Yarrowia lipolytica: one gene and its partners. The protein of the gene in region 3 interacts with the protein of the main gene of each other region in a biochemical or structural test. Links are inferred from orthologs where the notes say so. Each region holds a gene or a part of one and is shown on either strand. Other genes may lie near its edges.

What was found.
Region 1: the proteins of YALI1_D15114g (region 3) and YALI1_C30632g form a complex in vitro, tested with the Saccharomyces cerevisiae proteins (2 studies listed by BioGRID). The link is inferred for Yarrowia lipolytica from reciprocal best matches to the Saccharomyces cerevisiae genes KAP95 and NUP60.
Region 2: the proteins of YALI1_D15114g (region 3) and YALI1_F35938g form a complex in vitro, tested with the Saccharomyces cerevisiae proteins (2 studies listed by BioGRID). The link is inferred for Yarrowia lipolytica from reciprocal best matches to the Saccharomyces cerevisiae genes KAP95 and NUP116.

What each region holds. Positions count from the first base shown.
Region 1 is NC_090772.1:3,058,374-3,068,495, forward strand, and holds YALI1_C30632g (uncharacterized protein), read left to right. Parts: upstream 1-4,910; coding exon 4,911-6,272; downstream 6,273-10,122. Other genes in the region: YALI1_C30614g (uncharacterized protein), read right to left, coding at 1-3,030, 3,547-3,610; YALI1_C30653g (uncharacterized protein), read left to right, coding at 7,012-7,636, 7,866-8,062; YALI1_C30665g (uncharacterized protein), read left to right, coding at 8,138-8,635; YALI1_C30672g (uncharacterized protein), read left to right, coding at 8,836-9,222; YALI1_C30683g (uncharacterized protein), read left to right, coding at 9,941-10,026. UniProt on the Saccharomyces cerevisiae protein: Functions as a component of the nuclear pore complex (NPC).
Region 2 is NC_090775.1:3,588,797-3,600,673, forward strand, and holds YALI1_F35938g (uncharacterized protein), read left to right. Parts: upstream 1-5,021; coding exon 5,022-8,315; downstream 8,316-11,877. Other genes in the region: YALI1_F35894g (uncharacterized protein), read right to left, coding at 573-616, 661-817; YALI1_F35907g (uncharacterized protein), read left to right, coding at 1,971-3,929; YALI1_F35983g (uncharacterized protein), read left to right, coding at 9,509-11,877. UniProt on the Saccharomyces cerevisiae protein: Functions as a component of the nuclear pore complex (NPC).
Region 3 is NC_090773.1:1,504,687-1,515,814, forward strand, and holds YALI1_D15114g (uncharacterized protein), read right to left. Parts: upstream 6,808-11,128; coding exon 4,210-6,807; downstream 1-4,209. Other genes in the region: YALI1_D15063g (uncharacterized protein), read right to left, coding at 1,480-1,701, 2,386-2,443, 2,504-2,651, 2,869-2,878; YALI1_D15149g (uncharacterized protein), read right to left, coding at 8,410-10,221; YALI1_D15181g (uncharacterized protein), read right to left, coding at 10,678-11,128. UniProt on the Saccharomyces cerevisiae protein: Importin beta subunit that functions in nuclear protein import through association with the importin alpha subunit, which binds to the classical nuclear localization signal (cNLS) in cargo substrates.

The DNA of each region.
Region 1 (10,122 bases), on a different chromosome or scaffold from region 3:
GAGCAATGGTTCCCTTGCGGTATTGCTCATAGAAAAAGTCTTCAAACTGCTCAATTGCAGCCGGAACCACCTTTGCACCGCCCATAATGTCTCTGACTCGAGGCCACTTGGCCTTAGCAGCATAAGAAGGTAGTCTGAGAGGCCCGGCGAGAGCCTGCCAGGGAATAGAGCCTCCGTGGAACGATCGGGCGACAATGGTGAGCCGGAAAAACTTTTCATTGTCCTCCACATCGTATCGCCGGGCTCCAGACATCCGAGAACGAGACACGGAGGGAGTGGCGCCAATCTTGAGCTTGGATTTCCGCTTGATTCCGTGCTCGAGAATCTTGAGGGGATCCGAGCTGGGCAATCTGTCGCCCTTGCGGCTCTTTCTCTTGGGCTGCTGGCTCTGGAGAGTAGCCTGGGCAATCATCTCAGGTTCAATCATGCTGTCATCCAGACCAGTAAACTGGTTGTTCAAGCTGTTGTAAGCCGGATGCTGAGTGGAGTACTCCTGAGCATAGTCCATGGAGTATTGGGGTTGGTACTGTTGATGAGGATAAGTGGAAGAAGAGCCGGCACCCTGATGCGGCTCCTGGTCGGTGTAATCGTACTGAGGGTCGATATTGGAGGGCCGCAGAGATCTTCTCTTCCGAGGCACAACTTTGCGAGTATCACTAATCCATCTTCCGTCACTACCAGGCTCCTGAACTCGATGAGGGGACTTGTCTTCGTTGCCTAACGATCGTCGTGGGTTCGCAACAGGGTTGTGGTACAACTTGAAGGCCCCTGACAGCGATTCTCGGATGGGATTGTGAGTGGCAGGCACACTAGCGACCTTGGTTCGATGGATCAATTGAGCCTTGAGATCCTGCACCTGGGGAGCGTCTCTAGGCAGCGAAGAGTGTACAACCATCCAACGAACGATGGCCGAGTCTCTGCTTTTGCCCACGTTGACGGAAATACGATACACCTTGCCGTCGTCCTCCAGCTGGTTAATGTCTCTGTTGAGAGTCTTGGAGTCCACTTTTCCGTTTCGGGATCGCGAATACGATGCGTCAAACATAATCTCCAGCTGTTTACCGCCTTCCAGAACACCGTTGTTGGCAGAAAGAAGTTTCAAAATACGAGACTTTCGCTCCATGGCTGCGAAAGAAACAACTCCTCGAGAAGTAAGGCGCCCCGGAGCAGGTTCGGGCTCTGTCGTCTCCGCAGCAGCCTGTTCGGCCTCGGCTTCTTGTCTGACTGCGATTTCCACGGGGTCAGTTTCGGCCAACACCGCTGCCACAGCTGCCTCGGCCACGGAAGAAACAGTAGCTGAATCAGCCTGTTCAGTGGTTTCCCCGGTTGTTGCCTCGGCTTCATTTACGGTTCGACTGGCCGCCTCCAGAGCAGCAGCAGCAGCAGCAGCTTCAGCAGCCTCTTTCTCCAGTCTGATCCGCTCATGCTCAGCCTTGGACTTTCGGCCACGCTTCTTGGGCGGAGGTTTGTCTCCGGGAGCTGCAGTGTCATCGTCCACAGGTCGCTTTCTGGGTCTGCCTCTGGGTCTACCTTCTCCACTGCCCTGCTGGACAGAAATCTTGACGCCAGCAGCAGGAGTCACATTGTAGCCTCTGAAGGTGACAAACTGATGCTCTGAACCATCGGGGAGAGTCACAGTAGCTGTCAGGACGACTCCAGGGATCTCAGAGCCAAGTTTATGTTGCATGTCGCTCAGAGAAGAGTAAATTTTGGCAGCAGCTTTGGCCCCAGAGGTAGGAAGGGGTCGAAACTTACCCCAGGCGGGATCGGCAGCCTCTCCGACAAAGGCCCGATAGTCCATTTCGGTCACGTACCGATAGTACTTGGTTCTGGCATTCACATCCAGACCCCGAATGAGGTTCAAGTATTGCAGTTCGGGGTCGGACTTGTTCTTGACCGTCTTGTTCTTGGTGGTTCGCTCGGCAAAGCCTTCCAAGTACCGCGAAAACATACGGGTGTACGAGATACCAGCAGTCAAACGGCACAGCTCCATGGCAGGGATACCATGGGAGCCTCGAATCTGAGTGAGGTTGAAAATCTGGTTGATGAGGGGGTAGAAGCGGTTGAACGAAATGATATGAGAGTTTTCTTCGGGCAGCAAGGGCTCTCCAACGTCTTCCATCTTGATTCCCGCACTGTCGTCCATAACATCCAAAGAGCCCATAATCTTCTCCTCCTCTTCAGGCTCGACTTCCTCTTCCTCTTCCTCCTCTTCGTCGTCATCCTCATCGACACCAGCCATATCTGTGGTGTTGACATAAGGCTTGAGGAATTTGAGACAGTAGTACTTTTCATCCTTGCTAGGGTCGGGGTACACATAGACTCGCTTGAGGTAGCCATTAGCCTCCAGCTGACGCACAGCACGAGCAAAGTACGACTTGAGACGTCGGGTCTTGCCACAGCCCATTTCGTCTCTTAGGTCCAGGTACTGTCTGATTCTGTTATGAGCGTTGAAAGTAGCTTCAACCAGCCGTTTTCGGAAATCAGCAATATCCACTCCTGCAGCTCCAGACGAAGCAGCATTGCCGGTAGTGATACCCAGCTTTCTTCTGTTGGCAGCCACAAACGATCGGTACACAATCAGGTTCGTGTTGTGACCGGCATAGTAGGGGAAACGAGACACCAGACCCTGCTCCATGAGTGCGTTGACCCGCCCAAAGATGGATCGCGCATCCTGGCCAGTTTGTTTGGTGATCTGCACAGCGGTAGCTCCATCTTCTCGAGCAGCGGCAACAACACACAGTGCTTCAAAGGGGAATGCTCCAATGGGGTTGTTCTTCTTGGGTCTGCCCGTCAAAGTACGCCACTGGGTGTCTTCGTCAGCGTACACCTGAACCGAGTCCTGGGGGTATGTCTCGAGCAGAGTTTTGTAATCAAGTTTGTTGACGGTCTCGGTCTCGTCTTCTCCGTTGACTCCAACGACCATACTGGGATGGTTCATGAGCCATTTCCAAATCACTTGCTGGAGTTTGGGCGTGAGATTTGGAACCTTGTCGTAGGAGAGTGTCCACAATTGGGGGAGGGTTACACCTAGGTTAGCAGAACACGAGTCGAGTGTACGAGCTGTGAGAGAAGGGTAGAAGAGTCATGGAACATTGGAGAGCAGGGATGGCGCAGGTGCGAACGGCATAGCAACGAACGAGAAGACTTGGGCAGTCCTATCAGTGCTGTTGAGTACAGTCACAATTCGACCAAAAGTGACCGCTGTAGAGAAAAAACACCCTCAATCAAACTCCATCGCCATCTAGAACGTTCGGGAAGGGTTTCTTCACAGCTTGGGCGTTTTTCACCCCTCCCTAGAGCTATCAGCTAGTCTCAAGTGGACCAAAAACACCCTGATCCTGTCTCCGAAGAGACTGAACAGCTCACACCGACCAGACACACGCACGAACACGTCCATTCTTGCCTCTTCACGTAAATTGCGGCGTTCGCAAAAAAATATTTTTCCCTCTGCGATGCTGCATATCGACCATTTGGCTGGTGGACTGTCGAGACGGGGTTTTTTTGTCCATTTTGCCGTTTGCGTCACTCAGCCGGGACACTCACCTCCGGGACCAAACAGGGCCACGTTTTCCACGAGATAGTCGACAATCTCGTCGGGGGAACTCATGGGTCGGGTTATTGCTCGGGTAAAAAAATGACAAGAGAGATTCGAACTCACGAGGTTATCCGGTAGGGTAATTTGGGACGTAACCCTAGACGACGGGGTTGGGGGAAGCAATTGAAGGCGATATAACGACGTTGCGGGGATTCGAAGAGTGGATATGAGCGAGGTGCAACATTGCCGCCGGAGTGATTGTAGTTCTTGTGGACTTGGTATTGCTTCATATAGTGGGAGGGCAAGGGGAGGGGAGGAAAGTAAGAAGTGTTCAATATACGGGTATGACGAGAATTACACTTGTGGGGGTATTTCAGAGTCTGACTGGGGATGGACAACTGTATGGAGGTGGAGGAAGAGCTGTGGGGATCATTTTGTATGGCGAATGTTGGATTTGTACAAAGTCCGATTATATGAGGTCACGAGGATGGTTTTGTGTGACTACGGCACTGATGGAGTATTCCGGGGTGTGATGATGTCTAGTTTAGAATGGTATGTTTGAATGGCTACTGAGCGTCAAGGAGGAGCAGCCGGACTGTCGCGGAGGAGTAGCCGGACTGTCGCGGAGGAGTTGATGTTTGCGGAGGAGTTGATGATTGCGGAGGAGTACTTCACATTACCATACTCGTGGAGCCGGTTGTCGACTTCCTTTCATCTCAGATCACCCGCTCAACCTCATGCCAATAGCGTTTTCAGACATGAGCTCGCTTGTACCAGCGGTTGAACTGTAGGCCGTCAACACGACGCCTCGTGGAGACGTATCGGACATCAGAATGGGAAACCAAAGACACAAATCTAGACAGGAAGCTTCGACGATCAGATTTATGTGTTTATATCCCACAAAAAGCCCCTCCAACCCCTCTTTAGTGCTGCTCAAAATGCTCTCTCAGCCCCCCCAATAAAGCCAAATCCCTAACCTCCAACCTCCCAACATGCATGGTGCCAAAAAAATCCACATGATACACTAACTAACTACTTGTACGCCTGTGACGACACCAACGTCGACAAACACACCGTTGGCGCAGCATCATGGAAAACTCCCGCGTCGTCCGCACCAAAAGCTCGCTCCGCAGCCTCCGAGGGGTCTCCCTACGGACCGCCCCCCAGCCCCGGCCCGTCGGCGGCCAGCCCCCCCGCTGAGGGACACAGAAGCGGTCTCTTTTCCCGGGTGGTTGGGTTTTTCCGCCCGCACAAACCCGACGACCCCAATCAACCAACACAGAGCCACTCGCCTGCAAATTTGGCCCGGGACCCGCCCGTCTCAGCGCTGTACCCCGTGATTGACCGGTCGCGGACCTTTGAAGAGCCCCAGATGGAGGAGGAGATCACAGAAACGGTGTACACGCCATCGCAGACACCGCCCCGACACAAACGCATTTCGCTGGGCCCCGGAAAATCGCCCAACCAACGCCTGGCAGAGTTCTTCGAGAGAAAAGGAGACGCTCCTTTGAGTGATGTGGAAACCGCAGGTGTACTGGCACTCATCAACGAGGCGGCCAGCGACGATCCCAATCTCGCCGAACGACTGTCGCCTACAGGAACCCAGCACGACCGATCGGTTCGTCATAGCATGAGTTTGGCCAATCTGGCAGGCCGCAACGAGACGTACGGATCGCCCTCCAAGATTCCCAGACGAATGGAGCCCGCTGCGAGTGTTAATGGGACTCTCAAAAAGTCGAGATCAATGGCCTCTATTGGCCAGAGAAACTCCCGTGTCACTAGATCGTCCCTCGGTGGAGTTAGAGGCCGTCCATCTCCCATGATGTCCTCTCCTAAGCGATCTGCACGACAGGCCCTGTCGCCTAACCGAGTCACAACCACAAACTCCACATCGCCCATCACCTCACCGGTCTCTTCTGTCGCAGATAGACCTCTTTCTGGAGTGGCTTCTACTCTTCTGTCTCTGATTGATGATGACGAAGAAGAGGTTGTCACACCAGCCGAATCCTCTCCCGCAAAGGAGTTCATCAACCCCTACGCGTCTTCTCCTCGACGACCCGAGCGAGAACGATCTGCCAGTCAGTTGACCCCCCCGTCGCGTGAGAAACTCATGACTCCTTCCCCCGAAAAGAAGGAGGCGTCGCCGTCAAAAACCCCCTCCCAGATCATCAGTCAGTCCATGCCTCTGGAACAGCAGCGGGAGCGAGATAGCGTCAAGGCCCAGCCGCAGATGAAGAAGTTTGACAAGTATAAGCCTGTGCGATCCAGTAATCTGCGAGACTCCTTTGTGGCCGACCCCAAGTCTCCCGAAAGCACCAAGACCTCGGCGCCGAAGCAAACTGCAGTTTCTTCGTCGGGATCGCCTGAATCCATGCCCCCTTCTTTCACGTTTGGTAACAAGACCAACAACGGTTTCACCTCCAAGCTGAAATCGTCTTCTCCTTCCGGGGACGAAGATACAGATGTGAAGATCGGCAAGGATCTGGCATCTTCTGCTGCCATTCGCTCTCCCTCCAAGCCTCTGTACCCTGAGATTTCCAAAGATAAGCCAGTTCTGCCTTCCACTCCCAAACTGGCCAAGGCAGGTATTCCTTCTACTCCCCTATCCGAGGCTGCCAAAAAGTACGGACGAGACTTTGACTTTAGCACTCCCCTCAAGGGCGAGGTGCCCAAGCCGTTGACTCCAGCAGACAAGTCCAAGGTGGACCAGTTCAAGAAGGATTTCGTTTTCTAGAGAGAGGACCAGGAAACGATAAGGATGTATAGCATGAGAAGGAATAACCAATAAATGATATTGTGTAAACATTTGTGTACAGGGAATACGAGGCTGTGGGTGAGTAACAGTGGTACCGTGAGCTACATAGTGTGTAACAAGAGGCGCAGACATCGTCAAAACTACAGTCAGACTTTGAACTGGTTTGGCCATCTTCAGACTCCGACTTAACTGCCGCCGGAGGAGGTTAAATAGTCATGTTTTTGTATTCCTAGGCTATGTTCGTGAGTGAAAATGTATATATAGATATTTTATCACCCTCTTAAAAAAAATATTATTTTTTATTTTTTTATTTTTATATTTATTTCTATTTCTATAATTCTATATATTTCTATTTATTTCTATTTTATTTCTATTTATTTCTATTTATTTTTTATTTATGTATATTCATAATATATTTATTTATATATTAAATAATACTTTTTATCGTATATTCCTAGAGCCCAAAAACCGTCGCAGAAAGATTATTTTTGTACCGAAATACTCCCTAAAATCCACAGAAAAATCTCACATCAAAATGCAATCCCATTTCTTTCAAATATGGCCTCTAAAAGCGCCTTTTCTGCCTCCAAAATAACCCCACTTGCAACTCTATTTGGTGGCGTCATACGTAATCACTCGCTTCCTATTTGGGAGCTGCTCACATGCAGTGTGTTTATTCTTATCTCGGCATTCCGCGACTACGATACTAATCACACACATGAGTTCTTTCAGCGACGCCGTAAGCCTGGAGGCGCAGCCGGCGTACTCGGACTCGCCCGAGTTCGACAAGCTTAACGCCGATATCTCCGACACGCTGTTCCTGCTGAACAACAACCTGGTGACGCTGGGGCGGCTGCTCAAGGCTGCGCAGAACACGGGGGGCAAGCGGGACGTGGTGGGGCGGGCGATCGATCTTGCCGACGAGACGCGGGACCGGTTCAAGACGACGGGCGAGGATCTCAAGCGGCTCAAGGAATGGGACGACACAAACGCCGCCCAGCGGTTCACGCAACAGAAGCTGGGCCGGGAGTTTGCCACGGCATTGTCCGAGTTTCAGCAGATCCAGAAACGGCTGGCCGCGCACGAGAAGCAGGAGATCAAGATGGACAAGCAGGCGGTGCTGGAGTCGGAGTCGAGGGGCGAGGGTCAGCAGCAGCAGCAGCAACTGCAGCAGCAGGATGTCATGACCCAGGACTTTATGAATCAGTCGGAAACAGATCAGCACATGACGTTGATTTCGGAACGAGAGGAGGAGATCAGAAACATTGAGCAGGGTATCGAGGAGCTCAACGAGATTTTCTCCGATCTCGGTACCATTGTGACCCAACAGGGAACCATTGTTGGTGAGTATGACGGGGGGAGGGGGGGATGTTGAGCAGAGGTTTTGTTTAAACAGGGCGTAGACCAGGGTGTCTTCTGACCTTGGAGGTGGTTATATTGATGCAATGTTCTGTGAATCGGTGAATCGGTGAATTGGTGTTTCGCGATGCACATGATTTGCTTACTATGCTCCTACCCGTACCTCTAGACTTTCTCATTGCAGACACCGAGCGAGACTGAATACTAACACAGACAACATCGAATCGAACATGTATTCGATTGCTGGCGAGACCCGAAGCGCCGCCAGCGAACTCAACCGAGCCGCACGATATCAGAGCCGGTCGCGGTCCCGACAGTGCTGTCTGTTGCTAATTCTGGTCATTGTGCTGGCGGTCATTTTACTAGCGGTAGGTGCAAAGACATATTTGAGATGGCACCTTCCTTGGTAGCCCCATCTTCTCTCCCCATTCTCCACATGTTCCACTAACACAGACCTTCATTTAGCACCCCGGTGTATATACTTAATGACATGTAATGATGACGAGGGTGTAGGTGATGTTTTTGGGTCTGAAAACGGCCTGAAGGACCCCCAAACCGTCTTGAAAACACATGAAGAATGGACGTCGAGTGTTCCCAAAATCAACTTTTCCCGTTTATCGGACCACTTTCAGCCCACTTTCAATGTCCCTTCATTCCATTGTCTAGCCCAAGGTATGGGCGATCCAGAAACAGGACCTCTGGAGGCAGTGGACTGCTCAAGGACATTCTGCTCGACACCAACAGAAACTACGCCCAGTACTGCAACGAGACGTCGCGCCCCGGAGTATCTTCATGCCAGAGAGTATCTTCATGATCGCGGCGGACCAAAATCTGCTACTCAAAGTAGACAGACATGCTCATCTACAAGAAGGAGCCCGATACTCGAGTGTTACCCCTTGTTCGGCGTCCCCAGAGGTCGATGGCATTTTGGTTCTTTGATGCCAGGAAGGGGGTTGCTCTCGTGGGGGAACAGAGCTACCTGAACAGCACCATATCGAGGATTTGGGCTCTGTGGAACCCTCCAGGTCGCTCAATCAGGCTATTTTCTGTACATTGGATCCTAGCACCGAAGTGAGTGTCAAACACGGCGTATCGAGACCAATTCGCATTCTGCATACAAATCAATTTCAATTTTCTGATGCTTTGTAATCAGCTGAGAATTAAAACATGTTGAAAAAAAATTATGTTGATAATAATTATATTATTTTTCCCCATTTCCCCCCATTTCCCCATTATTTTCATATTTTATATTTTATATATTTTATATTTTCATTTTCATATTTTTTTTTTTTTTTTTTTTTTTTTTTTTTTTCATTTTCATTTTCATTTTCAATTTCATTTTTCATTTCATTTTCATTTTTTATTTTCATTTTCATTTTCATTTTCATTTTCATTTTCATTTTCATTTTCATTTTCATTTTCATTTTCATTTTCATATTTTAATATATTTATATTTTATATTTTATATTTTATTTTTTTTATATTTTATATTTTATATTTTATATTTTTATATTTTATATTTTATATTTTATATTTTATATTTATATTTTTATATTTTTATACTTTATAATTTTATACTTTTATATTTTTATCTCTTTATTCAACTCTGTGTCCGCTCCTTGCTCCATTTCAAGGTTTGTCTTTAAACTTGGGCGTAAAACCCTTTTTTCCCTTTTTTCCCTCTTTTTCCCTTTTTTTTTGACTTTAATAATCCCCCAATCGTGCACCAAAAGTGCACTCTGGGTGTATAGTAAAGGATACTCCTGGCACTATCATGGCCTGACCACCAAAGACCGGACTTGCACCAAATATAAAACCGGCGGACAACTACAGAAAAGTCGCGAGACCCGACACCCCGCCACAACGCCACCGACGGCACAGTCGCCCCCCCTCGCTTGGGTCCGCAGCTCACATTCACGAAAAATTGTTTATTTTGTCCCGACACATGTAGTTCCATGCACAGCTGAGGTTTCTTTGGAGGGCTGTTTGAGGGTGCGATGCGGCGTCAGAGGTGGTCAGGAAGGGTCAGAGAGGTGACATTCGGTCTTTTGAACGGCGCCAAACCGGCGGTTTTGCCGATACTTTTGTGTCTGTGGTGCTCTTGGTTCCTGTTTGACCACGGGTGTCTCTGTCTCTGTCTGCTTGTCCTCTCCCATTCGGGATAAACTCTCACTAAAAAATTGCACGGTGGTATCTGTCATGTAGTCTAGCGTGCGTCTCTACGTTTCTACTCTTCTTTCTCATTGCTCTTGCCGACTCTCGCTCGACTCTTGACTCCAGCATCCAAAATGGCCCCCGACGTTGCCTCCTTCATTGAAAACGACCTCCACACCGAGATCGATGCCAGCCTCGGCTTTGAGGATGAGCCTCTTCAGTGAGTATGGAATTTGACAGTGGCGGCGAGCCAACTGCCGTTGAAACTGTGCATGATGAGATGAGATGAGATGGCTTTGGAGGTTTAACCCAGTGA
Region 2 (11,877 bases), on a different chromosome or scaffold from region 3:
GTATCTGCTTGTTAGTCATCACTCACATCCCACTAGCCGTAAATATCCCGGGTAGTGCAATATTATCATCGTCTGTCTCATTCATCGGACCCATAATTTTCTTGTTTCGTCATTGTGTATCGTAAGGTAGGCCACCATTTGGCCCCACCATACAGAAGCCGCCGCACTTCCCCTCCTTATATATATGAGGGGAAACGTTTGGTGTATCAGGCCATGTCCGACGTCTTGGCGTTTGTGGAAGAATCCCAATATGCACATAAAGTAGGGTTAACTCAGTTTTGCACCACAACGTCGGTCAGACCTCGGGGGTATAATCTCGGGCAAAATTCGGACGGTAATAGGGGTATCAGACCACTGGGACGAATGTCAGAGATTATAATGTGGCCACCATGGCTGTATCGAGAAATGTTCCTGTTGAGCATAGATTCGAACGGCATGCCGTGAGCTCACTGTTGATGATGCTGTGGCAGAGGCAGATGAAACATGAATGTCCGAGGTCTTTACACTCAAGCATTTGATGTAAGGGCTTCCATTTATTCCAGTACATGCCTCTTGGGCCGGGAGCACGTCTGTCAGTGTCGGAATGTGATGTTGTCAAATCTGTCTGTAGTGGATGCTTGAATCGTCATAGTCGTCGCCGAAGTCGTAATAACTAACCACCTGTATCACAAATAGGTATCACAGCGGATATCATATAATATCTCCCTCTGTGGTGTTGTCTCTTCCATGGAAAAAGTCGTTTGTTGAAGTGCAGTGGTGAACAGATGTCGAACAATCTACTTTCGATGTCCAGGTTCAATGTTGGCGATGTGGACATTTGCGCCGCGGGGGCTCGTCCTCAGTGGGTTTCAGTCGTATTCCCAGCCGTTTCTCTTTTCCATCAATTCCCTAGCATCGACACACTGAAATATTGGTCTACTGCCCGGATTATATATATTTAAACTTGCGTGATACTTTCGGAACTAGAGATGCCGTGGATATGTCGGCTAGGGTCGACCCGGTCGATACCCGGATGGGGGGTTTGCGGAGGGCTGTAGGAGGGACTTTGAGACATAATTTGACCGGACAAAGCAATGGATCAATATTACTGTGTCCAATTTGTAGATTTGTGTGGTTTTAATTTCGAAAATAACTCTCGTACTTGTAATAGCCCTACCCCTCCTATTATTCCGCTTCCTTACCGTTAGCCTTGAGAACCTTGTTAAGTATATGAAATGCAGTGTGCGATACAGAATGTGTATATGAATTATGGTGGTGAGTTAGTACAAGATGACAATTGTCGTACAGGTACTTGTATGGGTACTTGTAGGTACGAATATTGAATGAGTTGTGTATAAAAGGGGTTTTGAATCTCACCTCGTTCTCATTATACAAGTCCAAGTACAGTACTTGTACTTATCTCGTGTCTGTTAATTGTTTGAGTGGGTCGTCTTAAACTCCTTAAACTGACTTCGTATGCTGTGAAGCCACGGTGGGGTGTGCACCCTGCAAGCGTAAGAACGGTCAATATTCTGAGCTGATAACATGTGATCTCTATCACACTATGTGTACAAGTACTCTACAAAGTACATGTACTGTACCGACACAAGAAGATGAGCTCATACTCACCCGTCCCTCTCAATGTGCACCCCCACACGCTGCACACACAGCGACAACACCAGAATTTCAAGTACAAGTACATGGCGTCGAAGGTGTTAATTTATCCCCTATTCGAGTCCCCGCAATAACTACCATGGGTGTACCTTCATATGAGAAAAAAATATCGCCTAAGCGTTCATATTATGACGGCTACTGATGCTCATGTGGGGGGAATACTAAGTTCACGGGTCATACATACCTCTCCTAAAAATTTGTACACATCCACACACAAGGTTTTGACGCGTGCATGATTTCGTTAATGGAAAAAACGCGTCAGGGCAGCACGAAGCTACACAACACTCAGCACACTACAACATACGAGCTACACCACCATGCCAGCAGTCCTCCCGATAAAGCTGAATCCATCGCAAATGCGGCCCGTGGCGTACCGGATCTTCTCCAAGAAGCACGGCCTCAACTTGAAATCAACAGGTCTCGAAACACTCACCGAAATCATAGGCAAAAACTACGGAACCGAATGGCGAGGGGCCGAGGCTGCCAAAATGATGGAGGAGATTTGTCGACTGTGGAAGGAGCAGGAGATGGGTGTTTTTGTGGAGGGCAAGCCGCTGCAGGAACTGTTCGATGAGATCACAGCCAGCAAGAAGGCCAAGGAAAAGGCACGAGTCCAGGTGGTTTCCAAGAGCGTGGGATTGACTGGAGTGGAGGAAATCGAGGATCGGGAAGGAGAGCCACAGGTGAACGTCATCAGAGAAGCAGCTCCTTCTGTGGACGTTGTGTGGAAGGAGTTCTTCAAGGTGATTAGTGCTTTTGATCAGCCTCTTTTCCATTATAATGCCCGCCAGCAACGGTTTGAGAAGCGGAAAACAAAACCCACATTGTTCGCCAATGCCCAATCTGCCTCTAACATGTTTCTGACTCGTTACCATCTGGTCTACAACCGTCTATTGCGCAATGACGACACCACAGACCTGAAAATCACATCGATCCGATCTCTTATTGGTCGACAGGGCGAGTTTTCCATCTTCGGAATGCTTTCCAAGAATCCGGAGCAGAAGATTTGTTTGCAGGACGACACTGGTCGTATTCTGCTGATCCTAGCAGCTGGTTGCAAGCCTGATCCAGGAGTATACTATCCTGAAGGCTCCTTTGTCATCTGTAACGGTCGATACATGAAGTCAGGAGACGCCGAAGTGTTTGTGGTCATCACCATGGGCCCTCCTGTGGCCGAGAAACGACAGGAGACCATCACAGCATACGGAAACATGGACTATCTGGGACTGCATGGAAACCCCCATGGTTCTGTGGTGAGACGAATTGAACGGCAGGTGGAAGCATCAATGCTTGCCGAAGAGAAACGCTTGGTAGATCAGAAAGTGATTGTGTTTGGTGGAGATATGTATTTGGACAATCCTTTGACTCTCAAGGCTCTACAGAAAGTGTTTTCGACCATTGAGCTTGAGTTTCAGGACTCTGGAACCAAGAAGCCTCTAGCCATGGTGTTCTCAGGAGACTTCACTAGTCAGTACCAGCCACCGCATTTGTACAAAAAGGGGTTCGACAAGTTGGAGGAGCTTTTCAAGGAGTTCAGCAGCATTATCACTGGTGTCAAGATTATTTTTGTTCCTGGCCAACGGGATCCTTGGACTAACACTTTCCCGACACAGAATGCAGTTGTTCCTCTGCAACCTCTTCCAACCACCATGATTAACAGAGTCGCCAGACTATGTGGAGAGGATGTTTCAATGAGCTCCAACCCCTGTAGAATGGCTTATCTTACACAGGATATGGTCTTCTACCGAGATGGACTCAGTGAGCGTCTGCGAAAGTGCAACCTTCAACTTGATTCTGCCAAGGACGATTCGGACGATTCGGATGATGACATTGAGATTGACAACGATGAAGTAATGATCAACGACGTTGTAGTCAACGAGCCCGAATCGTCCTTCGACTTTGGAGAGGGGCTCAGCAACCTCACTCGACCAGTGGATATCAGCACTCCTATGGCCAGCCAAGTGGGTCCTACCAACACTCTTTCAGCCAAGGAGGTGGAGTCTCGCAAGATTGTGCGAACCATTTGTGATCAGGGTCACTTGTCTCCCTTCAACAGACACGACAGACCTGTTGCCTGGGACTACGACGAAACTCTATGGCTCAGTCCACTGCCTACGATCCTGTTTATGGTTGACACACATGCTCCGAAGTTCTCTCTCAGGTACGAGGAGTGTATGGTGGTCAACCCTGGCCCCTTCCTGAACAGAAAGATCGCCAGCTGGGTTGAGTATGATCCTTCCAAGAAGACAGTCAAGGAGCGACAGTTGCATATTTAGACAGTAATTCATGACCCAATATTAGAAAAATGAGCCTTTGTTGCGTTTGAAGCGATATTATTGCCTTATCATACGCAGTCTTATGATTATTATTAGTAATCAAATGAAGAATGGAGACTAAAAAAGCCCGACGTGGGGCTTGAACCCACAGCCTTGAGATGACACCTAAGAATAAGAGTCTCACGCTCTACCGATTGAGCTAGCCAGGCATGTTTAACGATATTGAAAAAAGAAAATTGGACGTAGAATACCGTACATTTGATTAGTCAGCTGATTAGAATAAAAAAATTGAGTAATGAATCATCAGAATAAAAAAAAATTGAGCTGTAATGAATCATTAGTTAAAAAAAATATAAAAAAGAAAAAACGAGAAAAGAAAAATGGATCATTAGGATAAACAAAAAGTGTGTAATACATCCAAAGATTAAAAATAAAAAATAAAAAATAAAAAAACATCCCAGAAATCAAAAATGAAAAACCCTGAAAATGTATTTCCGTAGAACAAAATAATTAAGATGTCCTCAGAACAACCATAGGAGCTCTATAACGACGCGTTGCATAAATAGTAGTTGCATAAAGAAAACCAATAACAACGAGTAATACTCATCAAAGAATGCAGGTAAGATAAACACTGCGTTCGCAGAGTACAATATGTACACACACAACCTGACACGTCCTGTTGTTACACATTCCAGCAAGATCAGTTTATGCATGCAACAATACATACAACACAATACATTTAATCGTATACATACATCTGAGAAAAGGTCAACTATTGACAATATTTGTAAGTGGCGAAACCCTACAAAACATGGGACATGATATATGAGCCCCTCAGAAAAGAAACATCGGACAAACAGACTCGTGAGCTCGTTTCTCCACTATTTCAGTAAAATTTAATTTTGTTGCTTGAAACACTTTCAAAGTTGATACTGACTGCTCAAGTTGCTCCTCACACATGCCCAAAGTTGAGTTACCCTACCTGCGAACCACCTCCCAACTCATACAATTTAATGATTTATAGGCAGGAAAAAAAAGGCTGACACAGACTCAACATCACACCAAGATCTCATTGCTCCCGTCTTGAAAGCCATGTTCGGAAGCAGCAACACGACATTTGGCGGCGGCTCGTCGTTCGGTAACAACAACAACTCGTCTGGCGGCGGTCTTTTCGGCAACACCAACAATGCATCTTCTGGAGGCGGAATGTTTGGGGCTAAGCCAGCCACCAGCACTTTTGGTGGCGGTGGATTTGGAGCCTCGAACACCAACACCTCCACCAATGCGTTTGGGGCAGCTTCTTCATCCCCCTTCGGCTCGTCTTCGACCCCTTCTCCTGGTCAATGCCCCGGTACCACTCTTACTCCCTTTCAGCCGTTTACCGACAAGGATACTGCCAACGGAAAGATGATGACCAACATCTACGAGACCATCACCATGATGCCTCAGTATCGCACTTGGTCTCAGGAGGAGCTGCGGCTGGCTGATTACCAACAGGGTAAGCAGTACGGCACTGCTGGCGCCACGGCCACCAACACCTTTGGGGCTGCCAACACCGCTTCTCCCTTTGGATCTTCTTCCAACACCAACAACTCGCCGTTTGGAAACTCTTCCACTTCGGGTGGCAATACTTTTGGTGGCGGGTTCGGCCAGAACAAACCCGCTACTGGGGGCCTGTTTGGAAGCTCCAACACCAACACTGGTGGTGGATTTGGTACCTCGTCCACTTCTGGAGGCTTTGGCTCCAACACCACCAGCAACACTGGTGGATTCGGCGGATTCGGTCAGAACAACAACGCCACTAGCAACACCGGTGCATTTGGGGCTGCCAAGCCCTCGCCCTTTGGTGGTACCTCGTCTTTCGGCAGTGGCAACACTGGTGGAGGCATGTTCGGAAGCACCAACAACACCTCCAACACCACCAGTGGCTTCGGAGGTGGATTCGGACAGAACAACGCTAACACCAACACCACTGGCGGTTTCGGCGGAGGATTTGGCCAGAACAACACCACCAACAACTCTGGCGGAGGTCTGTTCGGTAACAATAACACCACCAACAACACCTCGGGGGGATTTGGCCAGACTTCCACCTCTACTGGCTTCGGTTTCGGTCAGAATAAGCCTGCTACCACCAGTTTCGGCCAGACCAACAACACTGGGGGTGGTCTCTTTGGCAACACCAACACCAACACCAACACCAACACCGGCGGCGGAATGTTTGGCCAGGCTAACAACAATACCTCAGGTGGAGGGCTGTTTGGTCAGAACAATAACACCAACAACAGCGGGGGAGGTCTGTTCGGTCAGACAAACAACACCAACACTACGAATAACGCATTTGGTGCGAACAACAACACTTCTGGAGGAGGCCTGTTTGGACAGAAGCCCGCAACTACCGGTTTCGGAGCAACCAACACAGGCACTACAACCGGCGGAGGACTGTTTGGCAACACTAACAACAACACTAACACCAATACAGGCGGTGGATTGTTCGGCAATAATAACAACACTAACACAAACACTGGTGGAGGTTTCGGAGGGTTTGGCCAGAACAACAACACTGCCAACACTGGGACCACCGGTGGCGGTTTGTTTGGCCAGAACAAACCTGCTACTGGAGGGCTGTTTGGCCAGAACACCACCACTCCTGCCTCGACCGGTACTACTGGAGGAGGCTTCTCGTTTGGCCAGAACAACAACAATGCCTCTTCCAACACTGGAGCCACCGGAGGAGGCCTCTTCGGCCAGAACAAGCCTGCAACCGGCGGTCTTTTCGGAAACAACAGCTCAACCACCACTACCAACACCACTGGCGGAGGGCTGTTTGGAAACAACAACGCCGCCTCCAACACCTCTGCTACCACCGGTGGAGGTCTGTTTGGTGCCAAGCCTGCGACTACTGGAGGAGGTCTGTTTGGCAGCAACAACACCACCAACACCTCCAACACCGGAGGAGGTCTGTTTGGCAACAACAACGCTAACACCAGCAACACTGGCGGTGGATTGTTCGGTAACAATAACGCCAACAATAACGCTAACACCTCTACTGGTGGCGGTCTGTTCGGCAACAACAATGCCATGAATAACAATAACATGAACAACATGGGTGCCAGAAACAACCAGACTCCTTCGCTCACGGCGTCCATTGACCAGAACCCCTACTCGAACAACCCCTTGTTCTCTGGTCAGACTCCTCCTGCTCTGACCTCTTCTGGTTCCAACGGCACTGCCAAGGATCCTCTGACCACCTCTCTAACCTCCAAGAGCGGAGCCAAGAGCGGCAACAACGGCGTATCTTCTGCATCTTACCTTTCGTCGTCTCGACCACTGTTCCAGCCTCGAAAGAAGACGTCTGCCATTGCTTCCGAGCATGTTGCGCACCAGCGAAACTACCCGGAGGACCGGTTTGAGCGAATCTCTCTACCCGAGGTCGCCTCTGCTGGCAACACTTCTGTGTCTAGCGTGGGCAACACATCTATGTCCACGGCCAGCAAGCCTCGCCACTCTCTGTTCTCTCCCAAGACAGATGAGTTCTTGCTGGGGTCGGACGCCTTTGTGCCTCGACGAGAGATCCGAAAGCTGGTCATTGACCGTTCTGGCGACGAGGCTGAGCTGCGACGTCTGACTCAGGGCGAGGACCCTGAGCTGGAGGATCCTCACCAGCACCAAAACGTCCATGATACTCCTTCCAAGGCTCCTCTCAAATCATCTCTCAGTACTCCGAACAGCCAGCAGCGAAAGAAGTCAGTGTCTTTCTCTGCGGCTGGAGACAACTCCGTGTTAAATGGTTTGAACGACCCTGACTCGCTTGAAATGGCTCCCGTTTCTCAGTCAGGAACTCCTTCATTCTTCCCCAAGTCTACGGCCTCTCCTATTCACAAGGCTGTGTCTGTGGAGTCCTCCGCCACTGCTTCTCCCACTGCCACCCAAACTTCGGACGAGGAGATTGTCGATGATCAGGGCTACTGGTTCTCTCCCCGACTCATGGCTCTCAAGACCATGACCACCGAACAGCTCAAGGCCGTGCCCAACTTTGTGGTGGGCCGAAAGGGCTTCGGTAAGATCCAATTCCTCGAGCCCGTGGATCTGACTGCGGTTGATCTGGACGAGATCCCTAACAACGTCATCACCTTCACCAAGCAAACTTGTATCGTGTACAACGACGACCAGGAGCGGCCTCCTATGGGCGAGGGTCTCATGGTACCTTGCAAGATAACTCTTTACAACTGCCGACCCATCGCCAAGGACACAAAGAAACCCATCACCGACCCCAAGCATCCCTATGCAAGACGATGGATTGCTCGTCTCGAGCAGCAGAAGAACACCCGATTCATCTCCTACGATCTGGAGACTGGTACCTACGTGTTTGAGACTGACCACCCTTAAAAGGTGTACTTCAAGATAGCGAAGAAGTAGATCAATGTAAACTATGTATGTATGTTAAAACGCATTAATGTCGTTACTGTAGAAGTAAAGTATCGTACACTGTGCTACAGTAGATGTACTGGTGCTTGTAGTTGTACAAGCTGCAGGTGAGTAGTTACAATATATAGAATTTATACTGGTACAATTAGTTGGATGCGTCTGGCAAGATTCAATTGAGGCTTATGCGTTGATACCTGAGTCGTTGTATACAATACCTGGGCGTAAAATTGCAACAGGTACAAGTACGAGTACAGTGTCATAATAGCCGTACAGTACTTATACATTGATGTGCGCTTCTCCTCATGCATAACAATGGACATGAAGAAGGTGCTGCTTTTTCGTGTGCCTGGCTATCGTGCCTGGCTATCATTTTCATGCCTAAAAAATCGTGCATCATTAATTCTGTCACGTCTGGTGCAGCCGAAGAGTGATCTGCAGCGCGCCTGACGTAATACTGATGATTGCGGATGTTCTGACTTTGAATAATGCATCTCAAACCGAATCAGCCGTGCCCCAGCGTACCGAATCCAGTAATATAAACGCTCATATTACGACACCGTTTGTCCAAACAACCCTTTTTCCGCTTTCCGGGAAAAAAATGTTTAGGTTCAGGTGCCCCTGAAATGTACTGCCAAATGAACCCGCTCGCGTGCCTGTTACACGTGTCATTATGTTGATGATGGAGATGAGAACCCAGTATTGTTTATGGTAGAAAAAATGGACCAATAAAAGATCTTTATCACGGCACAATTGAGCCACTTGTAGACGTGCTCCAAAAACGTTTCCTAATGTCTAAAAGTTGGAGTTTCCGCTTTGGAAGCCTAAAACCCAAACGAGCTTCACACGTTGCGTGCCGGAGATTAGCGAGATTGTTAGAACGTGCTAAGTGTAGTTATTGGGGTGGTTTTTGACAAGCCAAGCAAGGGTGGTATTTTGACAGCTATCGAAGACCATACTCATCTTGTAGTTGCAAAAACAAACATTCTCGTCGCTTCTCTGACTTGTCTCCAATGTCACCCTCTTCGTATAAGTCTGCACATGTCCAAGACGTCCGCCCCATTCCCTAACCCTAGCTGCACACGTACGCGTGAACAGTGCATTCCTTTTGCAACCCGTCAAGAGTGGTGAACACACACATTAGGCACACAAACGACATGGCCAAAAAGAAGTTGAGAGCCGGAGAGGTACGTCGCCCGGCCGGAGGAGCCACCACAGCAGGAGCCGCAGCTTCGAACGGATCAGCCAACGGAGCTACCGCGTCCGGTACCACCTCACGATCTGTGTCCGGAGAGAGTAGCGGAGCCGCTGGAGCCACTCCTCATGCTCCTCCGAGAGCCCGCAACCGCCCACGAGCCGGGCAGATCAACACCTCTGTTAAAATGACCTCTAGCACATCCAATTCGCCCACCACAAGCGTTCCGTCTTCTCCGAAGACCCCCAGATCACCTAGAACGTCCGTTCCTTCTTCTCCACAGGTGGCCCAGTCTCCCAAAGTGCCCCAGTCTCCTCGAATCGTTTCTTCTTCTCGACCGGGATCCGCTGGTTCGCCAGTCTCTGTCAAAACCAGTTCAAAAGCTGTAAAAACAGAGGCAACTAAACAGCCAGCTACTCGAAAAGTGGAGGCCGTGGTTATCGATTCGTCTGACTCCGAAGACGAGTTTCACGACACAGAGGCTGTGGTAATCGATTCCGACGACAATGACGACTACGACGCTGTCATCGAGACCGTCAGCCAGCCCGTGCTGTCTAAGGCCAAGGTGGTGCGAAAGAAGGAGCCCGAGGTGGCCACTACGACCCAGACAGCCCAGAAGGCCGTATCCGGAATTCCCCAGATCAAAATCTACTCTCCTCACAACACTCAGTCGGAATTCAAGCCCAGTGAAGACGAGGACGACGAGGACGAAGAGATCTCTATGGGGGACAACAAAATCGAGTTTGGTAAGGAGCTCACCAAGGATATCAGCAACAAGACGGACGCTGCTGCTGCTTCAGTTGGCGCGCCAATCCCCTCGCCAGTGGCTTTCACTCCTCCTCCTCCTGTGAACTTCACTCCCCCTCCCGCAAGCCCTCCTGTGGTGGTTGATCTGGACGACGACGACGGAGAAGTGAGATACAAGGATCGGTTCAAAAAGAGAGCCGCCGATACAAAGCCCGCAGCTGGTTCTACACCAAAGCCCGAGGAGGAGGTCATTGATCTTGATGAAGAGTCTTCCCAATCCCCCACAATCACTCCAGGTGCATTCCCTACCCCTGGGGCCTTCCCCTCATCTGCACCAAAGACAAAGAAAGAGCCTGTCAAAGAGGTCAAGAAACCTGTCCAGGAGAAAAAGATTGAGGCAAACGAGCCTGCCAGGGACGAAGCCGAGTCAAAGAAGACCAAGTCAAAGAAGGACACCTTGCCAGAGACTTCTGCAATCACAGAAAGCGTTGCCGCAGGTGTGGCCGCTTCTGTGAGTGCTACAGCTGCTGCTTCCGAAATGGCTTCCGATCATACTCCTCTGCAAGAAACTCCTTCTACACCTACCAAGGCTGGTGACGCTAATTCAACTGCTGCCATCGACATTGCATCTGGCTCTCCTGTGACGTCACCCAATGGTTCGCCTCTCAAGGGTATTCTCAAACAGCCCAAGCATGCCAAGAAGCCGTCCATTCGAGCCACTCACACTACCATCACGGAACCAATTCCCGATGACTCGCTTCTCTTCTCCGTCTGCATTGTGGGATTTCACCATTCTCTGGGACCCCAGATCGAGGAATGGTTTGGCCCCGAGGACTACTCTCATCTGTGGCCAAACCTACCTTTCCAGGCTCTCAGTGATGGATCCCATTCTCGGGAAGAGGACTTTTCATACTTCACTCTTCTGTTTGATGAGAACAACAAGAGCGCTCCTGGAGCTGGTGGGTACTCCGATGGACGTCCTTTCAATACCCAGACCGTTACAACGCTGTTTGGTATCGCCTGTAACCGTCAGGTTGGCGTGACCGATGCTCTGAAGCAGGATTTGGCTGTGACTCGAAGTACTGTTCAGAAGTGTGTTGTGGTTATATGCCGAAAGCCCATCTGGGGCCCCATGAAGGACAAGCTGGCTGTGGTGACACGTGCATTCTTTATGCAGCCCACTTTTGACGATAAGTCCATCATTCGAAGCTTGTTTGACTCGCTGGCACACACATTAACGCTGTCCAAGTTCAACTCAGACACTTCTTCTGACGTGTCCATCGGCATGTCGCTCTGTGAGCTGGTTTCACGTCTCAAGCAGAAGCTGGTGGTGGTATTTAAGGCCCTGTTGCTCGAGAAACGAGTGCTTTTCTACGCTTCTTCAACTGAGCTGCTCTGTACTTCACAGTTCTCTCTGGTTTCCCTTATTCCTAATCTCATCAACAACCTGCAAGATTGCGGATCTCCCTTGCTGCATTCATACGAGCTCGGACTCACTCGTGCAACCTCACTTAAAACCTCTGATCGGCAGTCTCTGCTCAACTTTATGGGACTGCCTCTGATGGTCTTTGGAGAGGGTGGTAT
Region 3 (11,128 bases):
TAGACCATCCTTCTTTGGCCTTCTTCAGGCTCCATCGACGCAATCGATGCAAACGGATCATGAGCCTAAAGCCTCGTCGGTGTCTCACTAGCCAGGTGGCACCATGCGCCACAGCCGCGGTCAGTTGACCCCAAACCCACTTGGTCTTAGTACGCGCTCCTATAGGTCTCACAACTCAATCGATCTTTCGGTCCGCTTCCACGGGACTATCATTTTCCACCCGGCCCATGGTTTGAGTTGATGAACTTCTTAGGGTTAGCAAAAGCATAGCGGCAAAAAACGGTTGCTCAGAGCCGTTGCAACCGGTTCAAGACAAAGACAGACTCTGGCGATTGCCCATTGTTCAATGCTCAATGGCTTCGTATCGGTACAGTATGGTATGTACTGTACGATACTGTTGACTGTAGTGTTCTGTACTTCAAGCAACGGCGTAACTACAATAGCACTACGAACCTATACCTGCGACTTCGACTATCCGGCCAACAACGGTCACTTCAAAAACATCCTCCACTAAGCCTCGAATAAGCCTCTCGGCCTTTGAACTGTCTTTTGATGGTCCTTTGAACTTCTTTTCGATCCTCTAGAGAAACCCTATAACTTCTCACTTCCACCGCACTAGCGCATGTCTCAGACTATCGTGGTGAAAAAAATATTCGTGATGTCTCGCCTTGGCTACTTGCCTAGGCTACTTGTAGTCCTGTCCTGGTAAATCTTGTCTGGGATAATCGTTAAACATCCCACACGTGGATTGCTCAAGGTACTACTTGTACGAGTATTGCGCATTAGCGACCCGTAAGACTGCTAGTCCAGGATTGCACTTTTCAGCTGTGTGGCTGAATGTCATATAGACTGGGAGGGTAATCAAACCTGTGTCTCTTGCACTGTTCAACATATCATCCTCCCTTACCCGATAGCTGCCTGGTATTAGTTAACCTCGGACCCTTTTTTTTTTTAGCCATGCCTTACGGCTTATTGGCTACAGACAGTAACTGAACGAGGACTTCGAGTCTACCAGCACCGATACTCGTAGATGACTGTACTTGTAGCAGTAGCAGAAGAGTTTCCTCTTTTGGAGTAACAGACCAATGTCGAACTCTTGACTGCGATGACAAACCCAACGCAGTCAGTCGCCATCAAGATATCTTAAGATGAATTCAGTGCCCAACAGTATGAACGGTGTTGAAAACCTCTTTAAAAGACCACTCGCCTTAGGATGTAGCAATGTAGGAATCGAAGACGACACAATGATGCGAGAGGGATCGATCTGCTCCCTCTGAAAAACATTCCACGTGACTTTGTCCGCAGGCGTTGTCTGGGAAGACTCCATCTACATTCCTTCACCACATGGCCTACGCTTCATATCTGCACTCCTACTTTCACCTCCTATTTGTACACGGGTTGAACGATACAAACTCCAACTTTGATCCCATAATCTGTATAAAAATGATTAACTACCAATATCCAAATGATTTAACATACTTATTTCTGACCCTGGAGGTAGAAGAAAGCAGCGGCGGCAACAGCAGCAGCAACAATGAGGAAGATCATGGAAGAAGATCCGTGGTCATCACCAACAGACTCGCCGTCCTCGTAAGAAGTCTTGACAGTGTGAGTCTTTCGGATAACGTCCTCGCTGGGGTCAACCTCACCGACATAGAGGTCGTTAAGGATGCCGTAAGCGTCCTCAGAGTGTCCAACGTCCTAGGGTTAGTATACAATTCAACTGTCGTGTTATTCGTGTCACCGTGTCACGCGACAGATCGGATGGGAAACACGTTGGAAGTCTAAATAGGCGACTGATTAGGCGATCCCCGAGACCATTTCCAGACCCTTCAAAGAGGTAGACATGCAAAAGCAACTCTGCACAACCACCTGACTGCTCCTGTGGAACGATTCCTCAACACTTTAGACTTTGAAACTTCAATTCCAAAACGGTGGCATCTCGAGTGCACGTGAAAGTTCAAAAAGTGGGGTAACACCCTGGAATCGGCAGCAATCGAAAATGCAAGCCAAGCGGTCCTTTGAGAGTGCCTAGGTGTATTGGGTAACAATCGGGTAGTTTCTTCCGCGCCCAGTGCCAACTCATAGTTGGGACTCGCGATTAGATCACTAATCCGTTGGGCAACTGTAGGTGGGTCGAAACCTTGTCGTATTCCTCGTGTCTGACTAATGTTGTGCTGTCATTGGCCAGCACAGAAAGCACAACGTGAAACACAACGACAACACCTCCGAAAGACAATAGCAGTTGCAATTGTTGCCCTGACATTGTCGATTTCATCAGCTGCTGCTGTTTGAGTCCGTGTTATTGCTTTTTTTTCCTTGCTTCTGTGGTGTTGGGGTTCCATCTCCTGTTTGGCCCATCATCCGAAATCTAGAAATACTCACGTCGAAAGCGTTGGTGGCCTCAGTTCCACCGGCATCAAGAAGAACCTCCTCTCCACCGCTGTAGTTAGTAGCTGTTGTGGTTTGTGTTGCTGGGCGACTTTCCTATTGTGGTACTCACGGATGCTCGTCAACGAAGCTGGAGATGTCGTAGACCTTGCCGTTGATGATCATCCACAGATCATTTCGGTCCTTGTGCTCGGCGACCTGCTTGAGGGTGAAGATCTTCTTCTCGGCAGTATCAGTAGGAATGGCGGCGGTGTCAGACACTGTGTTAGTATTGCAGGGTGGGAATGTAGGGGGGCTGGGGGAGTCGCGGGTGGTGGCATGTATGGATTGCAGAAACACCAGAAGACACAACCAAACAGTCGATTGCACAGCTTTCGAACAGTGCGTGCTTACTTGTGTCTCTCTGAGCTATCCCAATCTCTCTTCTTCCACTCAACGGACAACCTCCATGTCGTGTTGATTCATCACGTGAAAGACGACGATTCATTCATAGAGACGTTGTTTGGGTCGGAAGCTTCGGTTCAGTGGCCGTCGTCTGCCCTTCAGCCCGGGTGGGTGCGCCCCAGTCGTTTCCAATACGCACTTTTGATGATTGAAAGTAATGTCAAGCTGTGTAAGAATCACTCTGAACTTGGGAAGGCAAGCTTGGTATATAGTATTTAAAAAGAGGCTGTTTACCCGAAACGGCAGTGTGCGGTTAGGGCACACCACCCAACATGATGCGGCCATGCGCGGATCAAACCACACTCTAATTCCACAGGCCCATATGATTGTGGAGAAGAGTAAGCAGAGGTGGGGGGAAGTGAAAATGTACGTGTTGCTGAGATGCTGAACATTGGACAGTACTGGCCTCATTGTATATCCGTCTAGATCGCGTATTATGTAATCAAGCCCCCTGCATAGCAGCCCAACATCCGCCCATCACTGCGGCTCCTCCACCTCCTCCAGTATTATACATAATCTCACATCCTTTCAAGGGCTAAAAGACCCACACATGGATCGATCCACCACATGGTGCCCAGGAACGAGCACAACTAGTATCAGAGCAAATCAAAACACTTATAAGCACGACTCTCGCCTCCGCACAGCACAGAGCGGTGTCGAGAACTGGCACATTGGCGCAGGAGTCCGCTCCACGAACATGCCTCGTCTATGCCGTGTTGAAGCCTCCGTCTCATAAGCTTGCCCTGTATATAAACCCATTCTGACATTACTCCCTTCTCTATTGGTTGGAGAGTTTGGCGGCGCATGGGTGTCCTCAAACTAGATTTGCCAAACCCACATGGCTCTCTTTTGGCCTTTAGGCCTTTGGGCCTTGGTGTGGGGTAAACGTAGTGACTAAAGCTAACTGAATTAGTTGAGTCTAACCCGCTTTTAGTACCGCTGTCGACTACAGTAGATGAAACACTGATGACAGCACAACCCGGCCTGGCAAGTCGATTCTTGGACAAGTTGCAACTACAAACATATATCACACACTTATCCAGCCGTATTCGTTCTGTCGATGGAACCTAAAATATATATACAACCCCACAAAGTTGCCCCATTCTACATACACACAGCTACAATACATATGGTTGTACCTTTTTTTTTTTTTTCACATGGTTATCGAGCAAGATCTTCACGTGCTACAGATGCAGACAGGCAAACAATCAGGGGGGTGGGTAGATCTAAATCATGGCCACCTGCTACACTGTATATTGGCGATATACTCACCAACCTATAACTACAAAGTAGTCATACTCAAACGCTTGTTTTCTATTTTTCCGGTATCATGCTATTTTTTGTGCAAAAACTTGTTCCCTCATCTCAGACAGCCTATTTCTCGCCCAGCTGTCGCTTCTGCTGCTCACGTGCCCATCGAGCGGTAATCTTGGTCTCGTCAGTGAACTCGGGATCGCTTCGAGTTCGTCGAATGAACTCCAGCACCCATGGCTTAGTGTATGCCTCCTTGAAGTCTCCACCGGGATACATGGTGGCAACATCACCAATGATACCCACAACGGACCGAGCCACAGACTCCACAGGAGCGAGCAGAGGGTCCACGGCCACCTTGGACAGGAAGTTGAACAGAGTGGGGACGTAGGGAGCAAACAGAGCAGGGTAGTCTCGAAGACCGGTGACAATGCCGACAAATGCGTCGATGATTCGCTCACGCAGGTTGGCGACAAAGTCAAGGAACTCCTCGGACACGGCATAGCCGGAGTACTGGTCAGGCACATCCAGCTGGCACGCCTGCTCAATCACAGGGAAGACAAAAGAAAAGTACCGCTCAAACTTGGGGCCAATGCTTGACGCGATGTCTCCAAAGCACGACAGAATCGAGGGCTTGATGACCTGTTGGGCCTTGGGGTTTTGCAAATCGGTGACAAACAGCTGCATGTACTGGTCGGAGAACTGGTCAATGGCAGGGCCCAGAGCGTTGGACACGTCGGCCACCAGACCGACTGCAGTGTTGCACACAATGAGAGAAGGATCTTCCAGAGCGCGCAGAAGGAAGGGGTTGAGAGACTCCATGAACTTCATAAAGCCCTCACCGTTGGCATCGGCGACAGCTCCAATAGCAATGAACACGTCCTCCTCGATGAGCGAGTTGGGAAGCTTGTTCTGCAGCAGGTTCAGGAACAGAGTCATAAGCCGGTCGGATGCGGGCAGCACCAGCTTGTCAGTTCGACGGATGATGTTGGTCAGCAGACCGAGCAGGTTGATCTGCAGCTCCTCCAGGTTGATTCGGTCGTCCATGCCGACAATCTGCTGCTGCATCTCCAGAGTGGTCTCCAGACGAGTGACAACCTCGCCCGACAGCTCAAGCACGGCTTCAATGCAATCGTTGGCACACACAACAACAAGGGTCGACAGAGCCTCGTAAGCAGCGGTTCGGGCGTTGTTCTCGTTGTCGTTTCGAGAAGCGGCGTTCAACAGAGCAGGCAGCACCTGGGGGTAGTAGGGGGAGACGACGGTGGTCTCCTGGTTGACGCCGCCGTGGCCAAGCTGCTCGAAAATGTTCATGATAGTCCAGCAACAGTTGGTGATGACCTTGGGCTCGTCCTGCAGTCCCTTGAGCAGGGTATTCATGATGACGGGCAGATGGACTTGCTCGTCAATGGCGTTGATGACCAGATCGGAGATTCGGCCCAGACACCACGCCACGGTGTCCTTGACCTGCAGAGAGTCGTCATTCATCAGGTTGAGAATGGGCTCTAGAGCCTGCTTGATGAGATCGGCCAGATGGGCGTTGTCAGGACCGTCCAGAATAGAACCAAAGGCCATGACAGCGGCCTCCCGGTTTCTCCAGCTGGTGGTATTTCCAATGTTCTGCTCGACAAACTGCAGAGTCAGAGGCACCACGTCGTTACCAATGGTCTGCGCGAACAGCTGCAGACAGGCGGCAGCAGCCATGCTAACACTCCAGTCCTCGTCGTCATCGTACTCGTTCTGCCGGTTGAGCAGCTCCAAGAGAATGGGCAGAACCTTGGGGGCAGCCACCTTGGCGAAGCCAAAGCACTCCTCGCCGGTCCGCTGGTTCTTGTCCTCAATCTCGCATACGGACGACCAGAACTCCACAGCCATGCATGCCACCGAGTCGTCGGAATCCTGCATGCCCTTGACGGTAACGCCAAACAGAGCCTGCTTCATGTACAGTTCCATGAACTGGTAGTATTTGGTCATGATTCGAGACATTGTGCCGTAGCTGACTTCCCGCAGCTTGGCAGAATCGCTCTGGGTGGCTTCGCACACGACAACCATGATGCAGTTTCGCTCACCGTCCCGGGCAAAGTTGTCTCTGATGAAATCCAGAGAGTCGCCCAGTGCCTCAATGGCCTTGAGCCGCACGTTCTGGTCCGACTCCTTGGACTGTGCCGCCTGCACAATGGCAGTAAGAATGCCTGATGCCTGGGAAACCACACCAGCATTGTTTCGGTCTGCTCGCTCGCAGATGAAACCAATAGACTGCAGAGCGGCCATCTTGATGTGACTGGGCTGCTCGTCCTTGGTGTTCTCCACCAGGGTGGTCATGAGACTGGACCATCGTCCCTGGGGCAGATCAATCTCCGCAATGGCGGCCACGGCCTGGGCTGCTGCTGAAGCCACCTGGTTGTTAGTGCTCTTCAGAACCTCCAACAGAATGCTCTTGATCTGATCTGTAACGGATCCATCGGCAGCCAACCACTTGTTGGCCTGCTCCTGCTTGACCTCCTGGTCCTTGGATGTCAAGTTGTTCTTGATGGCAATACCAGCAAGCACTCGGATTTCATCGGGTATCTGGGTATCCTGAGTGCTGATGCAGTTGGCGAGGGCCATCATCACATCACCGTAGTAGTTTTGGTATGCGTCGGCCAGCTTGGAGTTGGCCTCGTTTCGCACCTGAGGCGTGGCGCCCTGGAAGGCGTCGTGAAGAATGGGTGCGATTTCCATCTGGGTTAGTAGGGGTCTAGATAGGTTGTGTGTGTGTCGTTTCAATGGCAACGTTGCGGGTGCAAATTTAGTGCGCTCGTGTTTTCGATTCTGCCGCTGATGTCTGTCTCGTGCACCCCACGTCTGGTTTGCGGTATTCTAGACCAAACCACACACGTCATCAATCGATTAATGAGACAAGATCGTCATAAATCAAACTGATGGCTGCCACGAAAACAACTATCCAGCGCGATCCCGTTAACCCAGCAGTTGTCTCCTTGGCCAGCCAGGGAGAAATCAATTCCAAGATACCCCACACAAGTTGCGTCCCGCTACAACCTCCAGAGCCGGCAATTTGAGCGGGAAAACGACATTGTTCAAGTCAGAAATTCCCACATATGCCACCCGCAACATGCCCTTATTCGCCCCGTCCCTCAGAGACGTGACGGGTCGCAAACGGCCACCTTGGCCATCTGAACACCTCACCACATGGCGTCCGTCGTACTCACGTCGTAGTCTGTGATTTGTCGATATCCGAAAGTCGAAAGTCGGTCTCTAGTGTCCACACAAAAAGAATTCCTCGGCCAATTGAAGGTCGTTCGCAAACGGCTGAATCGAATATAATCTGTTTAAAACAGGGAGTGGTAAAATGATGGGACGTAAACAGACCCAAAAGCCAATTTTCAAATAGAGTGCTGTAAATTTGAGCACACCCACACCCCCGGTTGTCCCAGCAACGCCCCCAGCTCCTCCTCCCAGCAATCTTACTGAGGTCGGGATGGCGTAACAAAAAGCTATGTAAACGGGACTCATTTACTCAGTCGCGTCCCACGCCGCAATGTCGCCAGCTCCAGGTGGCAAATTAGCATCCCCCAACCCCGGACTGAGAAATACTGATGCCGACTTGCCCATACGCCAGAGCACATACAAGTCTGTGCATGCGGTACACGTACACCAGCCATAAGTAAAGGACCACCATCCAGATATCGTTCCGGTAACTACTGCAAGTAAATGATCCCTATCTTTCTACAGTAACTCCACCGACCTTAAAGAATAGTCGTTACAACTGCCCTACAGTCTTTGATGACGACGATGACCACAACTAGGAGCAGTGTGGGCTCTCGCTATCCCCGCCCCCACTGTTGCCGAGCAACATGCTGTAATAAGGGGAAATTAATACACAGATACAGTGTGGGCTCCTACCACTTGCAAACACTGCGGGTCGAAATCCCAAGTTCTCGCACGTATACTGTATCGTGATCAGTTGCTGGGTAACGCGTCAAAACAAACCTGCAGCAAGTTGTAATTATGTATAATGCCGGCATCTTATGAACCTTGGATGGCGGTTTATTTGACAAGGTCATTATTCCGGTGAGGTTATCTCAGCCGCTAAAGGGTTCATGGTCAATTGATTTTTGACCGACTAGCGAGCGTCATACGAGTACTGAAGTTGCAACAGCCCGTCTAACCGACAGTCTGTAGGATGCTTGCACCATATATGTTTACATGCTGCCTATGAAACACAATACAGACCAGACACACACTTCGGGCTACATGCATAGTAACCATCAAGGCGGCTTAGTCAGATGGTTAGCGCTTGTAATAAATAGTTATGTACAGTCGTCAGACTCCTTCCCTCGCTTGTCCGGTCCACATCTCCAGCCAGTACATCTGCCTGCGGACACTCTCGTCAGCAGACATGTTCACGGTGGGAATGATGGTGGTGGCAGCCATGTTCAAGCAGAAGGCTCGTAGCTCGACAAAAGACGAATGCTCAGAGTACGGGACGTTGTACTTTTGAACAGGCTCGATGGCAGACCGTTCCAGATTCCGATCTAGATTCTCCACATTGTACTCGAGGTCTCCAAAGTCATAGTAACTTGGTCGCAGGTCTGTGGCTTGCTCGTTGGCTTGAATAGCACTTTTGGGTGGTCGGTAACTCCATCCTGTGGGAGCAAATGCGACAATTTTGGAGAAATGCGGCTTGAAGCTCTTGAGATGCTCAAACAGCTGGTCCTTGCGGGTCTGGCCAAGAGGTACGAGGTGAACCTGGGCTTCTAGAGGGTCGGATGTTAGTAATTCAGAGATGACGGGGTCGTTGAATGTTTTGAGAATGCGGCGTTTGGTTGTGTCGGCAAAGAGCTTGGAACCCAGACGAAGGGCAATCTCAATTGCCAGCCTCTCTTTTCCAATGGTATATGTTCCAACCACAAACAATGTGCGAAGTTGATGTACTGGAGAGTTGGGTGAGCTCGTGAAGAATCTTCCGATTGTCGACTGCCGTTGAGCTTTCTCCAGTTGCTCCATTTTCAAGTTGTTTAGTCGCACACAAAAGTCTGCGCACACCTGAACCACTCGGTTTTGACTGGGGAAGGCATGGCTGGGTCCTAGATACGTGGTGTCGAGGTACACCTCGTCGAGCTCTCGCTGCTTGAGTTTCAGTTTGATTTCACGCACCAGGTTCATGTTGGCCCGAAAGTCTCCACAATGAACAGCTGTCTTTGTCGGACTGGTGAACAGCATGACAGCTGCTCCGGGGCAGTGGTTGGCGTCAAAGAAGATGACCTCCACGTCGTTACCGACACAGAACGGAATATGGATGGGGATCGGAACCAGCCACTCATCTTGGACTCCCAGTTTCATCTTACAAAGAGCTGCAGTAATGGGTGTGCAAAAGATAGGGCCGTGATTCCAGCTCTTTCGTAGTCCTCCATAATGATCCGCATGAAAATGTGACAGGAAATAAAGATTGATCCCTTCGAGAGGTCCATGCATAAACGAGTCCACCGCCACGTTCGTTTCTCCCATCTTGATAATCTTGAACGACGGTGCCGGCTTTTTGGCTCGCTTCTGTTTCTTGACAGGCTCTACAACAGCAGAAGTCATTTCTCCCTGACTGTTACACACCATCATGGACTGGGTTGAAGTGGGTTCTTTGGCCTTGGCTTTTCGTTGCGGTGCTCGTCTCGGTTTCTTAGTTGGTGTTTCCACGGCCCGTGTCAGTGACTGTGTCTCCACCACAGTCGTATCCATGGTTTCATCAGCACTAAAGTACACCTCGTCTTTGATCTCCTCCTTGACTTTGCTCTTCACTCCTCCCTTCAACAGATGAAGAAATTCGTCTGCGAGAAAAATTGGCGTTCCCACTGCCTGCATCTCCTCCATCTTGACTGTTGCGGGTGTAATTGTGCTTGTATCAAACGTCAGGTCGCCTTTGGTGGGTGTAGCACATGTGACGCCATCATCATCGAGACACTCAACGCCCAGACATTTCTCAGCATGGGCGTTGCGCTCGGAAATGCTAAGTCCCGTAATGTCCAGCGGACACAGCGGACAAAAGACCTGTTTCTTGGGCTGGCCGAATCTCAACACATCCTGGCGGGGATCGAACAAATACTTGAGTTTTTTGGAACGGTTCTGGCGATCTTCGTCCATCCCATGATATGCCTGGCTGTGGGTGCGTGACTGGATGTGTCGCCGGATTCCTCTCTTTTGCTGATGCAGTCAGAAAGAGTTATGTCAAAGGCCGGTGGCGTTGGATACAACAAGTGCATCGATCTCGCATGTTCAAAGCTTATGATGCAGGAGACGGGTGAGAGTAGTACACCTGTGGAGAGTGCTGGAGGGTATATATATACGTGGGAGTGTGTCACAAGGGACATGTTGCGATAGTTGTCGTTGGATTTCTTTTTTTAGGTAAAAACGCGGGTTTCGCGAGCATCTCTTCTTCTACTTGTACGCCGCATTTCATTATGTAGCCTATTCCGGTGATATATGGCAATTTGAGATTTACTGTACTTGTACAATAGCGCATGGCGAACGAAAAAATTCACCAAAAAGTGAAAACCAAGGGGGGAAATTAAATAAATTAGACAAATGCACACATACTCATCATCTCCTCCTCTCAATGGACAGAACCGAAATCTTGGTTAGCCACCCACGCAACTTCTTCAACCCAACATGGGGACACTTTGGAGTAACCACACACATGGAAATATCGATCATTTCAGCAGCCAAAGTAATGGCTTCCTGAGTGATCCTGCTCTCAGAGACGTGGCCAAAGTGTTCAAAAGTTCGAATAGCTCGCAAAAACACGTACCGAAAGAATGCCGACACATTTTTGAGAACCACAGCTTCAGGAACACTCTTGTTCAACAGCAGCCTGGGGAACCGAGCCGAAAAGTATTCCTTTGCTCTGTGTCTGACAGCTGCCAGCTTGACTCCTTTATCGACCCATAATAATGCAGAGCTATAGGGATAGTCTCGATGTATCTGAAGATTGCAAGGATCGATCTTCATGCCCAAAAACGGCATCATTTCGCCCTCTTCAAGCTGCGCGATT